2 linked regions of the Rhinolophus ferrumequinum genome follow. The protein of the gene in region 1 interacts with the protein of each later gene in a pairwise test. Links are inferred from orthologs where the notes say so. Each region holds a gene or a part of one and is shown on either strand. Other genes may lie near its edges.

The links. The genes of interacting proteins can lie anywhere in the genome.
Region 2: the proteins of CCDC136 (region 1) and CDK2AP1 interact in binary tests that used the Homo sapiens proteins (3 or more experiments, as listed by UniProt). The two-hybrid records come from large-scale screens. The link is inferred for Rhinolophus ferrumequinum from reciprocal best matches to the Homo sapiens genes CCDC136 and CDK2AP1.

The regions. Positions count from the first base shown.
Region 1 is NC_046309.1:17,344,723-17,351,858, forward strand, and holds the start of CCDC136 (coiled-coil domain-containing protein 136), read right to left. Parts: upstream 2,938-7,136; coding exon 2,886-2,937; intron 2,402-2,885; exon of another isoform or gene 2,197-2,401; coding exon of another isoform or gene 2,139-2,196; coding exon 2,031-2,138; intron 438-2,030; coding exon 183-437; intron 95-182; coding exon 20-94; intron 1-19. UniProt on the Homo sapiens protein: May play a role in acrosome formation in spermatogenesis and in fertilization.
Region 2 is NC_046308.1:4,504,040-4,511,552, forward strand, and holds the start of CDK2AP1 (cyclin-dependent kinase 2-associated protein 1), read left to right. Parts: upstream 1-4,509; 5' UTR 4,510-4,586; coding exon 4,587-4,641; intron 4,642-7,092; exon of another isoform or gene 7,093-7,103; coding exon of another isoform or gene 7,104-7,158; intron 7,159-7,513. UniProt on the Homo sapiens protein: Inhibitor of cyclin-dependent kinase CDK2. Also acts as a component of the histone deacetylase NuRD complex which participates in the remodeling of chromatin.

The DNA.
Region 1 (7,136 bases):
CTTGAAGGCTGGGATTTACCTTGGAGTTGCTGGATCTGCTTGGTGAACACTTCTGCCTGCTGGGCGCTGGCCAGCCGTTCATCCTCCAAGAGCCCTGCATGGAGAGAGGGCCAGCATCAGGCCTGGGATGGTGAGCATAGAGCATTTGGGCGCAGCCCTCAGGCCCCAGCATGGACACTCACCCTGCAGCTCCAGGGAGTCGTCCTCATGCTGCCCTGCCAGTTCCCGGGTCTCCTCCAGCTCTGTCACCAGCTGCAGCACCTGAGCCCTCAGCTCCTCCAGCTCTGTCTCCGTGAGGCTCAGGCCCCGGTGCTTCCCAACTGATAGGGAACCTACACTGCCACCTTTCTGAACTTGATCTTCTTCTTCTTCCACCTCTTCCTCCTCCTCCTCCTCCTCCTCTTCCTCCTCATAGAGAGCTGGGAGTAACACTTCCCCTAGGAGAGACACCCATCCCGCCAGGGGGTCAGAGCCAACTTCCTTTCCACAGTCCTCCGAGGGCCCTCAAACTCACTGTCCCCGGGCAGAGATGGCATACTAGTGCCACCTGGTGTCCCCCAAAGAGCCCCTGGGGAGGACCTGCACTCCTGAGTCCTCAGGTGTGAGGGTCATATTTGGAGGTAGCCCATTCCCCCGCCCAGGCCCTTTCTGGACCAGTGCTGCACCTGGTGGCCTCCTATTACTGCCTTTGGGGAAACTGAGCAGCTCAGTGCTGGCTCAGCCATGTGAAGTTTGCATAAGAATACCCACTCCTTCCAGTCCTGGTCTCTGGGGCGTGGGACAAGTAGTCAAGAAAAGATTCAGACACTGGACGTGTCTTTAGGCCAAATGGGGCAAGAGTTACAGTCGGGGTCTTTGTAGAGAGTTCAAAAACTGTCCAGGTAGCTTGTGAGAAATTAGCCTTTCCGTAATAAGATCGCATTGCCTGTCAGTAGGCAAACAAAGAAAACAGCTAAATGAAGCGAGTCTCAATGTTTTACTGGACAAACGGGGGCCCTTTTAAATGTGCTCTATCGAATAGCCTTTTTGAAATTTTCCACAAGGCCCACCTTCCTTTTCCCTGCTGAGTGTGTGTGTGTGGGGGGGGGGGGGCGCGGGTTTCCTCTCCCCTCCCTGAGTGTTATGAGGCCTTTCCCGCGGCTGATCAATGTACAGAGTAGTTTTCAGGGCGGAAGTCTGAGGTACTTGTGCGTAAAGTCTGAGGTACTTGTGTGCCATTTTAATGCATTAAGAAACTGGGGTGTGCTGGTCCCCAGCCTCTGGTTGGCAAGCACCCCCTCCTTTGCTGCAATGCAGTTCCTCCAAATAGCAAAAATCTTGTCTGGGTGGTGATTGTTGGCTTTGTTTTAAAATTCTGAATCCCTGGTCTTACTTTCTCCGATAACAGCAGCCTAAGGTTCATCTGGGACCCCTTGCATTTTCTGTTCCCTTTGGGGGAACAGGGTTGCCCACACTGAGGGTGCACAGGGGTCTGAGGACACTTCACAGGAAGTCATGGAAAAACGGACCAGCATCCTTTTAGGGGCCTGGTGTTGGCAACAACTACCAAGGTGCATGGGTGTGGTGGGGTCACAGGAGTGTTGGGAGGTTGGCCTTCTCACCTGTCCCCCTCCCAGGCAATCTCTCTCAGGCAGTATGCGACCCTAGAGCACCAAAGGCACAAGGCTTGCATATAAAGTTAGTGGTGGTGACACCAGGAAGACAATTCACATGCTCACTTCTCTGCTTTTCAAAAGAAGAGACAGGTTGGGATCTGGGTCGAGAGGCAGTGAGAACAAACCCCCTGCAGAAAGGCTGCTTCAAAGCTCTGTCCAACCAGGCCTTTCTCTGTCTGGCAGCTTCCCCAGGACACAACCTGGTTAGCTTGTGATTAAGGCCCCAAAGGGAGGCGCTGGGCACCTCCCTCAAATCCTCAACCCTGAGGAGGGGTGGAGGGGCCTCAGGTGAACTGGGGAAAGGGCCCAGAGTTCTGGGGATCAGAGGGAGGAGGGAAGAGGGGGAGAGAAAGAAAGCTTTCTGGGAAAACTCACCCTCCATAGCTTGCATCCCCCGCCTCTCCAAGGACCCCCAGCGTTGGCCTTTCTTCCTCTCACAGCCCTCGGATACCTCGTAGGAGCCCAGAGTGGTTACTGTGGGTCCTGTGAGCAGGGAGAGAGGAGGGATTGTGGGATGCCAGGGGCGGCTGGGGGCTGGCATGCCTTCTAGCCCTTTGGAGCCCTGAGGGTTTCAATCCTGGTGGACGTGCTCGGCTCACTCCGCCCAGCACCGCGACTCTGCTCCTTCAGCCGCCCCTCGCGCTGGGCCTGCGGGGACCCCGCCCTGCGCGGCCCAACCTCCTCAGCAGCCTCCGTTCAAGGCTCCTCTCCCTTGCACAGACGGAAGGGGCGTGTGTCTCTTTAGCCTAGAGGGGACAGGAGGAGAGGGGAAAGGATGGGAGAGAGGGCAGAAGCTAGTAAAGAAGCGGCTGAAAGGGTGAGGTGGTGCGTGGAAGGGGAGGCAGGTGGCGATGGGCAGGAGGCGCCGTGGGAAGGGGTCTGGGCCAGAGCCGCTCCCCTCCCCTCCATTCTCTCCCTGGACCTCGCCCGCCCCACCCTCGCCCTGCGCTAAGAAGCCTTCGGGGGTGCAGGGGCTGGAGCCCCCTGGGCTGGAGAGACGTGATGGAGAGGGCTCAGGGAAAGAACTGCCAGAGAGGATGCTGCCGGTGGCGGAAGACTCAGCGGGAAAGATGGAGACCGGGCCCGGGTGAGGGGCGGGACGGAGGGAGGGAGATTTAGGAGGGGAAGGTGGGCGCAGCGGAGGGAGGGAAGACGTGGGGGTCTGCAGGGAGGAAAGATGGAGAAGAGGAAGGCGCGGCGGGGGAGAGGTGAGGGAGGGGCGGCTCTGACCTGGGCAGCTCCAGCCCTCGGCTCCCGCGCCGGCCTCGGCGCCCGCCTCCATGGCCTCTCGCGCTGCCGCCGCCGCCGCCGCCGGGAGCAGACGCCGCAGCAGCGAGGCCGGGACCCGGAGCCTGGCGCGCAGGGCTGGGGGGGCGGGCCGAGGGGGCGGGGCCTGGCCGGGCCACCTGACGCCGCCGCCGCCCGCGGTCCGCCGCCGCCTGGAAGCCCGCTCCGCTGCGCGACCGGGTGCGGGCAGGCGGGAGCGGGAAGGGTGAGGGAGCGCGTCCCAGGACGCTCGTGGCCTCGCCGAGCGAGTGGGGCGAGCGGGCCGAGGCTCGTCGGGACTTGAGGTCTCCCCAAGAGGTAGACACAAGATCCCTTGCTCTGGTGATGGGTCCTTCCTGGAGTCGACTGCGCACGAGGACCCGTCTGCGCCATTTGTCAGGTCCCCGTCCCTCTCAGTGGTGGAAGAAAAGGTCAAAGATGGACAAATGCTCCCGGCCTGTTCCTTCCAAACGCGTAGACACGCTCACATCACTCAAGACCCATGCCCCCACCTCCGTTGTTAGCGCTGACCCCCTTTCGCCGCCCCAGCGCGGCGCAGTGGCCTCTCGCTCCCCAGAGCTGCATGAGAAATGGACCAGGGAAGCCAAGGCCGGAATACATGAAATGCGGGTCCTTGATCTCTCTGCTTTCCTGACGCCTCCACCAAGCCAGAACCAGGGACCCTCAGGAGCGCCCGCTCCATGGCCCCACGCAGCCTTGGCTGCCTGGAGACCTCCTCACTCCACCACTCGGCCTTCCCAACTGGCCCTACACCCCGTGGGCTGCAAGCCACGACCCCCACCCACCCTGCCGGTGCAGCCGTCTCAGAGTGCGTACTGCTGATTTTCACTCTGGCAAAAGGGAGAGGTGGAAGCCCAGAGAGCTGGTTTCACTTATTCAGTCATTCACTCAAGGAATGTCTACCAGGAGCCCAAGGCAGTTGTTCTCACATCTTTGCAGGAAAGAAGTGGTGACACACTTGGGAACCTGGGCATCCCAGCAGATGCAGAAAAGTACCAGGAGATTCCCAAGCCAGGGACACACACCAATTCCTTCTCTTGCATACCTACTCACAAAGTCATGGGTACCTATTATCTGTGTCCACCCCCCATCTCCCACCTTCACAAGCCCCCCATAATACTCAGGAAAGAAGTCCTCCTTTGGCTGGGCATCCCCTACTTATCCTTCACCCCTTCATCGGGGTCACCTGTGGGCAGCCTTCTCTGACATCCCTGTGAGATGCCCCTGCTCGCTCCACCCTGCCCTCCTGCCCTCTAGGGCAGTGCCAGTCACTCTGGGTTGTCAAGGTCAGGTGTTTACTCTTCTGTTTGCCCACTTTCTGGAAGGTTGGGGAGTATCTTAGTCATTTTTTTCTTTTTATCTCTAGCATCTGGCAAAGTACCTGACACATAGAATAAATGAGTAAAGGTAAATCTCCCAACTATGCAGTTAATAGTGTCTTATCATTTAACATGATTTCACACTTAGGGAGTTAAATGTTACCTAATAATGATGATGTTGCCCTATAAGTCTCTCTCTCTCTCTCTCTCTCTCTCTCTCTCTCTCTCTCTCTCTCTCTCTCTCTCTCTCCCTCTCTTTCTCCTCTCCTTTTTTTCTCCCCCTCATACCTCCAGCCTGGTGTGCTCTGAGAGATGACGAGCACAGGTCAAGGAGGTTTCATTTGCTCCCCAGATGACAGGATTTCACTCCCGGTCCTGTGGTCAAGGTGACCCAGTCATGGGGAAAGGCTGTTGAACAAGACCACTCAGACCCGTTCCAGAGGGTCTGCTGCATCTATCAGGCTTGTCTAGACTTGGTGAGCAGGGCAATTGTCAGAGATGGTGGAAAGAGGCTGGCATTGGGAGGGTGGGGGTGCAGAGAGCTCTGGGGACTGATAGAGCCTAATGCTGGAAGCTCAGTGGCTATTTGTTCTGCCACAGCACAGCTGTGGTTCTGGCTCAGCCAGTATGGTCAGTGAGCAGTTGACCTTGATTGCTAACTTTTTGGCTGATGGAGGGAGGGGCAGGGGAGGACATTGTCAACTGTGACGTCCGGGGGTCCAACCTGTCCTCGGGGAGCTCTGATCCTGGGCATTAAGACTAATCTCTCCTTGGCTTCCGGGGTGCAGGTCACTATTCACCCTTCATTGGGTAAGTATTCAGGGGAGACCTGAGCCAATCTATTCTCAAGACCCAAATTTGGGCCATCCCTGGCCAGACCAGCACTGGGTTGAGGGTGGGGTGAAGTTAGGAGGCAGGAGGAAAGGGCACAGCAGGTGTAGGTAAGTGGCCTGGGGCCCTGGGCTGCAGCTCAGAAGGGGCGGAAGTGGTTGGAATGCCAGCCAGGTAATCAGCTTAGGGGGATGATGTGCACTAATCCTCAAAATCCCTGGACTCAGGACTCAGCCTCCCTCCTAATCCCTTCCCACAGATCATCCTCTCTGAGGATTGATGTGGCCATTTATCCCCATTTACCCTTATTTCTAACTGCCTAGATCCCTTCATTAAAAAGAAAGAAAATGTGGAGCTTTTAAACATGCAGAAAAGTACAGGACAGAGAATAACATAACAAATACCCATGCACACACTGCTGAAATCCAACAACTGTTCATGTTTTGCCACATCTGGTTCAGAGATAGCCTTTCGATTTATGGTTTTACAGTTTTGCTCCATATGTACGCATCCACAAGCAATACGGAAGATTGATTTGTGTGCTTAAAAACCTATCTAAATGGTGTTCTTTCGTATACATTTTTATGTAAACTTTCTTTTTTCTCAACTTTTTTTTTTTTTTTTTCATGTATCCATGTTGTTTCATGTAGCTCCTCCAATTTGTGAATTTTAACTACGGAATACTATTTCATTGTTTGAATATACCACAATTTATTTATCCATTCTTCTGCTGATGGGCATTTACAATGTTTCCAGTTTTCTGTATTATAAACAATGCTGCCACAGACAGTGATATGCATGCCTCTTTGGCATATATGTAAGCACTTCTCTAAGGTGGATACCTAGAAATAGCATTTTTTGGTCATAGAATATGTGTTTAACATTGCTAGGTAAACTGTACTAGTTATTGCCAAATTGCTGTATCAGGAAGCTGGACCAATTTACACTCTACTTACAGTGGCTTTCGATGCTTGTTTAGATTCACTAACACATTTATAAATTTCTCTTTTCACCATTGTTCTTGGAGTCCACGCCTTCCTTCTTATGAAGTATATCCTTCGGTGGCATTTCAGTGAAACTGTTTGAGTGGTAAACAGTCTCAGTCTTTGTGTTAATCTGTCCTTATGTCACGCCATTTAAATGGAAATTTAGTGGGCATAGAATTTGTGGTTGACAGTTTTTTTCTTGGTCTTTTGAAAATGTTTTATTTTTTTGTATAAAATTTTGTGGCTAATACGAAGTCCGCTTCCAATATAATTGTTAACTTTGTAGGCAATGATGACTTTTTCTTTTTTTTCTGGTTGCTTTTAAGAGTTTTCTCTTCCTCTTCAGTAGTCTACAGTTTCACCACAATGTATTTATAAACTCAGGACTCTTCAACCTGAGGACTCTGTCTTTCTTCCATTTTGGAAAATCCTCAACCATTATCTGTTAGAATATTATGTTCCCCCATTCTTCAGGAACTCCTATTTTATATATATATATAATGGTATGAAAGGCAAAATACACACACACACACACACACATATATATATACACATTATTCTTTCTCTCATGTTTTTAAATTATTCTTTCATATTTTCTATTTCATCACTTTCCCCTCACCACCCCCGTTTTGAATGATTTTTATTACCGCTGTCTTCCAAGTCACTAATTCTCTTTCCAGTTGGGTCTAGTCTACTGTTTAATGGATCACTGAGTCTTTAATTTCAATGGTATGTTTTTCATTTCTTAATGTTTTATAGCCCTCCAATAAACTGCTTTTTTCATCATACAATATTTTTATTATGGTATATTTTCTTATCTTTAGTCTTTAATGCTTTTAAGTATTCTTATATACTTGTTTTTCACATTGTTCTATTATGCACAGTTTTTGGAGTGTTAAGTCTCCTGTTTGCTGTATCTGCTGACTCCTCCTTACGGTGGATTGCTTCCTTGTCTAGTTTATAATATTTCATTGTGAGCTCTTCTTCAGCAGGTGTTTTCGTTTGTGTTTCTGTTTTTTAGTGAGAATCGCATATACCCTTGGTTATGAAAACATTCT
Region 2 (7,513 bases), on another chromosome or scaffold:
GAGTTTGCCAAGCACAGCACAAGGGCCAGTTGGTGTAATGAAGCCTGAGATGTGGGAATGAACAAGTACCAGGGTCATACCCCAGTCTGGCCTGAAGAAAAATAACAAATAGTGGGAGGTGACGGGTAAGGTGATGAGTGTGGTGGGGTCAGAGGAGACAGCTAAATGTGGCTGCCATGCCTAGAGTAATAAGCTTCATGACATGATGGGGACTGTCTTTCCTGCTGCCCCCAGAATAGTGTCTGACACTTAGTAGACACTCAACAAATATTTGTTGAATAAAAGCGGGAAGGAGGGGAAACTGACAAAGTATTTGGCAAAACCTAACACTTTCATGATAGAAACACTCAACAAACTAGTAATAGAAGAAACCACTCAACTTGATAAAGGGCATTGATGGAAAGCCCCATCATATTAAATGGTGAAACACTAAAATCTTGCCCCCCAAGATCAAAGACAAGGATGCCTGCCCTCACTACTAGCCACCATTGTCCTTGAGGTTCCAGTCAGGGCAATTAGCCAAGGAAGAGAAATAAAAGACATCCCATTTGGAAAGGAAGAAGTGAAACTCCATTCGCAGATAACATGATCTTATCTACAGAAAACTCTGAAGAATACTCATACACACAAAAAAAATTAGAGCTAATAAGAGAGTTCAAGAAAGTTGGAGGATACAATATTACATACAAAAATCAGGTGTGATTTGTACATGCTGCAATGAACAATCCAAAAATTGCAAAAACAATTCCATTTACAATAGCATCAAAAATAATGAAATACTTAGGAATAAATTTAAAGTACAAGACTTACACACTGAAAACACTGTTGAAGTTAAAGAAATAAGACCTACATAAATGGAAATCCATCCTGCGTTCATGGATTGGAAGACTTCATGTTGCAACTCAGATAGCAGTACTCGCTAAATTAATACACAGATGTAATACAAGTCATATCAAAATTCCAATTGCCTTTTTGTGTGTGTGGCGAAAATGGACAAGCAGATCCTAAAATTCATATGGAAATGCAAGGGACCCAGAAGAGCCAAAACCATCCTGAAAGAGACAAAATTGGAGCTCTCCCACTTCCAAAGTACAAAGCTACAGTCATCAAAGCCGTGTGGAACTGGCACGAGGACAGACATAAATCAATGGAACTGAGTCCAGGAATAAACCCTCAACAAGGGTGTCGAGACCATTCAGTGGAGAAAGAACAGTCTTTTCAACAAATGGTGCCAGAACAACTGGATATGCACCTGCAAAGAATGAATGGGTCCACATCACACCGTACACAAAAATTAACTAACAATGGGTTAAAGACTTAAATGTAAGACCAAAAACTAAAAACTTTTTAAAGAAAACACAGGTGACAAATATTCACGGCCTTGGACTAGATAGCATACCAAAAGCACAAGCAAACCAAAGAAAAAAGAGACCTATTGGACTTCAAGAAATAAAACGTGTGTGTGAAAGACCCTACAGAAAAATAAAGACCACCCAAAGAACGGGAAAAACTATTTGCAAATTATGTATCTGTGAAGGGACTAATATCCTGAATATATAAAGAACCCTTACAATTTAACCTAAAAAGGAAACTCAATTAAAAAATAGGCAAAGGATTGAAATAGATGTTTCTCCAAAGAAGATGTACAAATGACCAGTAAGCACATGAAAAGATGCTCAGCATCACTATTCATTAGGGAAATGGCCAATCAAAACCAGGAAATGCTACTTTACACCCAACTGGGATGCCTAAAATAAAATCAGATACCGTGTTTCCCCCAAAATAAGACCTAGCCGGACAATCAGCTCTAATGCATCTTTTGGAGTGAAAATTAATATAAGACCGGGTATTATATTACATTATGTCATATTAATATTATATATATTATATTACATTACATTATAGACCCGGTCTTATTTTACTATAAAATAAGTAAAACAAGACCGGGTCTTATATTAACTTTTGCTCCAAAAGACGCATTAGAGCTGATTGTCCGGCTAGGTCTTTTTTTCGGGAAAGCAGGGTAACAAGGAGTGTTGGTGAAGACAATGGAGAAATTGGAACCCTCATACACTGCTGGTGGGAATGGAAAGTAGTGCATACACTAAGCAAAGCAGTTTGATAGTTCCTTAAAAAGTGAAACATTAAAAAAAAAAATAGTAACAGGGTTATGGTAATTCCATTCCAGTATATACCCCAAAGAATTGAAAACGTTCATACAAAAACTTGTTCGCAAATGTTCATAGAAGCCATATTTATAACAGCCAAAAAGTGAAAACAACCAAATGTCTGTCAACTGATGAATGAACAAAATGTGGCCTATCCATACAATGGAATATTATTCAGCCATGAATAATAAAGAAATAATATATGGATACATGTTGCAGCATGGACGAACCTTGAAAACATGCTGAATGAAAGAAGATAAAGGTCAGATGATTCCATGCATATGAAATGCCCAGAACAGGTACATCCATAGAGACAAAGTAGAGTAGTGGTTGCCTAAAGCTAGGGGTAGTGGGAAAAGGGTGACTGCAATGGGGTATGGAGTTTCTTTTTGGGGTGACAGAAATATTCTAGAATTAGATAGTGTTGATGGTTGTATAACTGAATGGATTAAAAACCACAAAACTGTATACTTTAAAAAGCTGACTTTTATGCTAAGTGAATTGTATCTCAATTAAAAACAAGGGAAAAATGTTTTCAGGGATAATCAGGACTTAAAAGTGAAGGGTGGTGAAAACACAACAAAACTGAAAAAGAGCCCAGGACATTTGTAGGCGGGACTGGTGCAGGCCACTGAGATCTGGATTCTCACCCCCAGGACATGGAGGTGCAGTGGAACAGCTCATAGGTGGTGGTACCAGGATTAGGGCCTGCCCTGGGAGTCCGCTGCTTGTAGCTGCTTGCCCTGCACCGCCCCATAGGAAAATCGCTACTGTGGCCATCGTGCGCTTGAAAGGTGGCTGGTCTGAATTCAGCGCATCTGAATCCAGATGTGCTGTGAGTGTAAAATACATGTTGGCTTTTGAAGACTTCATGTGATAAAAATAATGTGAAGTATCTTAATTTCTTTATATTCATCACATATTGAAAACAGTGTGGTGGATATATTAAAAAATATGTACCAAAGATTAATGTCACCAGTTTCTCCTTACTTTCTAAAATGTGACTACGGAAAAATTGAAAATCACATCTGTGGCTCGGAATGTATTTCGATCAGACAGTGCTATCCCAGAGTATTGGGCCCCTGGGGGGGGTAGGGGAAGGTGACAATTTATTTATGAAATAAAATTTTATTGAGTGTCCTTGGATGAACTAGCCTAAAGCTGATCACAAGGGGTGCTGGTTAAGCAGGGGAGGGGACGTCACCTGCACCTTCAATCCCAAAGGGAAGGGGCAGGGGCGGTATACCTTCCCTCTAGAGCTGAGAGGAACCTTCCTCACTAGGTGCGTGTGTCTGAATGTTTGGGACCAGTGTAAAAATTTGCAAGCCATTGTGATTAAAACACGATGGCAAAGGGTGGGCATCTTGTGTGTTTTGACGAGCTTTACCATCTAAGCAGAACTCCAAGAAATAGTACCTTCAAAAGCTTAATCATCTAATCCTAAATCCATCTGATGATTACATTTCAGTCAGCTTCGAGCATAGGCTGGGGTGGGGTCGAAGGAGGGCCAAAAATTGTACCTTAAACCCCAGGAGAGTAGAGAAACTTTGCCAAGTTCATTCTTGTACCCTTAGCTCCTAGAACAGTACCCGACACATAGTAGGCGCTTCTTAAATATTTGAATGAGTTACGATGCAAAATTATGTAAATGCAAGGGTGGATTTTCCAGGAGGAGATTCCTCTTTTTTGCCAGTCTCAAAGGATTCACAGGCTCCCAAAGGGTTAAAAACCACTAAATACAGACAAGGATGTGAAATTTATTTGAAATCAATGTTAGAATTGGTTGTTCTTATTCTGGGGAATAACCAGACCTCGGCGTCTGGAAGGATCTACGTGCTTAAAAATACCATTCGCCACCATTTTCTCCAGGTAATTTTCCATCCCTGCCCCCACAGTCAAGGAGGAAAAAAGTAATTGTGAAATCCTACCTAGCTATTAAAAAAAAAAAAAAATAAGCGGTAAAATAGAAAATCTCCAGGCGCCGAGAACGAAAAAGAAGAAAGGGACCCAGGCGGGCCACAGGCGCCGCCGGGACCCCAGCCCCCCAAACTTTGCCAAGTTGCGGGCGCCGAGCGCGCGGGGAGGCGCGGGGCGCGGCCGCGGGCGGAGCCGCCCCCTGACGCCGGGCCGCCCCCTCCCGGCCCGGGCCGGCCCCGCTGGCTCGGCTCAAAGTTTGCGGCCGCCCCTGCGCCCGCCCGATGTATGGGTGATATACTGCGGCGGTGTCAGGGTGAGGGACGGCCATATTTGCCGGTGCGGCCCGAGCCGTCAACAACAAAAAGTGCGCGGGAGCTCGGCGGGCGCACGGACGGGCGCACGGACGCCGGGCCCGCCTCGCCGCCGCCCGGCCTCGCCGCCGCCGCCGTCGCCTCGCGGGCCTGGCCCCGCTGCGCCCCGCGCGCCCCGCCGCTCGGGGGGATGTCTTACAAACCGAACTTGACCGCGCACATGCCCGCCGCCTCCCTCAACGCCGGTGAGTGAGTGCGCCCCGTGGGCCGCGCGCGCCGCGCCCCAAGTGCTGCCAAGTTGGGGGCCCGCACGCCGGGCCCCGGCCACGGCCCCGGGAGCCCCGCGAGGCCAAGGGCGACGGGCACCGGGTCCCGGCCCGGGGCAGCGCGGCGGCCGCCGCCATGATTCCGGCGCTCGCGCTGCCAAAGTTGGCGGGTGCGCCCCGCCCCGCGCCGGGCCTCGGGCCGGGGCTGGGCTGGGGCCCCGGGCGCAGGCGGGCGGCCGCCGCCGTCCCCCCCACGCCGGCGGCCGAGGACTCGCGGGGAGCGCGGCGGGCGAGGGCAGGGGAGGTTTTCCTCGGTTCCTTTTTCCTCCGGCTTTTGGGCGGCTCGGCGAGGGCCCCTGCCGGCGGGAGTCGGGAGCGGCCGGGCCGCGCCGGGAGCGGGGCGCGGGGCTCGGGCGCCGGTGGGGAGCGGGGGCGCAGGCCCGGGCTGCAGGGGCGCACGTGTGCAAAATCAGGCCAGCGTAGGCAGGGCCGGGGGGACGGCGGCGTGCCAGGTGCAGCAGCCCCTGAGGGCTCTGGGCGGCTGCGGCGGGGACGGGGGTCACCCGCGGTGCAGGGGACTCAGTCATCAGTGGGGGTTAAGCCTGGCACGTGGGAGCAGGGGTCCCGAGAATGGGGCACTGGGGAGGTCCCCCTCAGGCGTGCGCGAGTGGAAGAAGTTGGAGAGGACAGGGGGCTTCTGAGTACCTGAGGGCGGTGTGTGTGTGTGTGTGGGGGGGAACCTCTCCGTCGGGGCCCACATGTCGGAGCCCCCAAGTCTGGGCCTAGGAGGCCCCCTCCTGCAGCAGTTGGGAGGGGCCGCTCTCTCCCCTCCCTGGGACTGGAGCCGGGCAGTCCCGGGAAACTCCTCCAGAAGTTGTCAGGCCGCTTTAGGCTGTGCCCAGGGGCTCACCCTAGGGACTGAGTGAGACTGGGTGAGGGGCAGGTAAAATTGTGGGAGGCGGACACCACCGGCTTTGTCCCCTCACCAGGGCCCTTCTCCTTTAGACAGTTGGTTGGAAATACTTCCCCAAAAGCGAGGCACGTTGGTGGTGGGGGAGGGGACAGAAGGGAGGGAAGGGGGGTTTGGCCTTGCAGGTCAGAAATGCCACGCTGGCAGTTGGCCGCAAGTGTTGGGCCTTATCTCCAAACGGTGGCTCCTTAACTCCAGAAATCTGAAGAGGGACCCAAAAAAGCCGTGTGTGTGTGTGTGTGTGTGTGTGTGTGTGTGGTGTCTGTGTGTGTTTAACTTCTTGGACACAGATTTGGGGATTAGAAAGGGTTAAGATTCAGGGTACCAGTGTGGGGGATAGTTGAATTGGTCAAATGTGGGCTCTGATCCCCAAGAGCACACAGCACTGTTTTCTCAAATGTTCTCACCTGCTCTGGGGTCTGCAAACCTTACTGAGACAGGCTTTGTGGTGCAGGTAGCATTTCTCACTGCCTCCCTCATCTGTCATTTCTGGGGCAGGAAAGGTGAGGGTCTTGCACCAGCCTGGACAGGCGGGAACTCTCAGTCCTGACCTAGGAATAGTTGAGGCAGGGGCCCTAACCTGGGACCTTTGGGGACTGGGGTCACGGAGTGACGGGCATCCATTCAGGACCCCTGAAGCCCTGTTCTGGGCTGGCTGGCAGCTCTGCGCAGGTTTTCTTCTTTCTCCTATGGTGAATTCCAGGAGTGCTGAGGTGCCCGGATCGCTGGTGTTTCGGTGGGGGCCGCCCCTTCCCGGTGGACACCTTTAGAAAGCCCCATCTCCCCCTGCCATTTGCATCCAAGATGGACTCTCCGCTGCCGCTCCTCCGGCTTCCTTGCCATCATCCCTCACGCCCTCCAGCCCTGCCTCCTGCGCACGGGTTGCCAAGCCGCGGCCTGGCCGGCGGTGGCGGTGGCGGTGGCGGTGGCGGAGTTAGACAAAGCCCCCGCCTCTCTGACGGAGAGCCCCCCCCCCAAGGCGCCCCAAGTGGCGGGAAGGCCGCCAGCTCCCCAGGCCCAGGCCGCTCTTTGTCTGGTGTGGGGGCGGGGAGCTGTGCCTGGCCCCAGGAGCTGCTGGCCTCTGCCAGTCCCTCCCTCTGCTCGGCCTCCCTGGTCCCCGCACACTGCGTGCATTGTCTGCGATGCTCGGAAACGCGGCGCTCACGCCCAGTCTGGTTTTCTGCCTGGCCTTGCGCAGCACGACCCTCTGGCCCTTCCTGTGTCTGTAGGAAGGAGTGGGCATGAGTATAACTCTGGGCCCCTTGCCAACTCTCCAGGGCCACCTGCCCGCCCCTCAACACAGAGTAAGGGACCGCGTTGCCACAGGATTGGTGTCACCTGCCACATCACCTAGGTTACCCCTGCAACCAAAACTGGGCACTTTCTCGTTCCTCCTCTCTCCTCCTTAGCCTCCAAGCCCAGCACCATGAAAGAACAGGATCTAGAGCAATGTGGGGAACCATTGCCTCTGATGGAGAAACTGAGGCTCAGAGACGGAAGGGGCTGGTCTAAGGTCACACAGCCAGGTATGGCACAGCTGGACTAGCTCCTAGTCTAGACCCTTGCCTGTAAGGGAGAAGACAGGCCAGGGAGGCAGCAACCCAGTGAAACGAGCAAGAGGAGGAGGAAGGCAGGAAAATGCCTGGGAGGTGCCACCCCCATCTCTGCCAGAGAGCTGGTGTCTTCTAGACACCTTGAAGTGTAGTGGGATGATCCATGCTCCCCGCCCCCTGCCCCAGTCTCACAGTTAGTATCCTGGCCTTTCAGAGAGGTGTCACAATTTCTAGTGGTCAGGATTGGAACTCAGGGCTGGGGCTGCAAAACCTGAGACCTCACTCACTGGGAACGGGGGTTTGGATGATGTGAGGGGAGCTGGAGGCA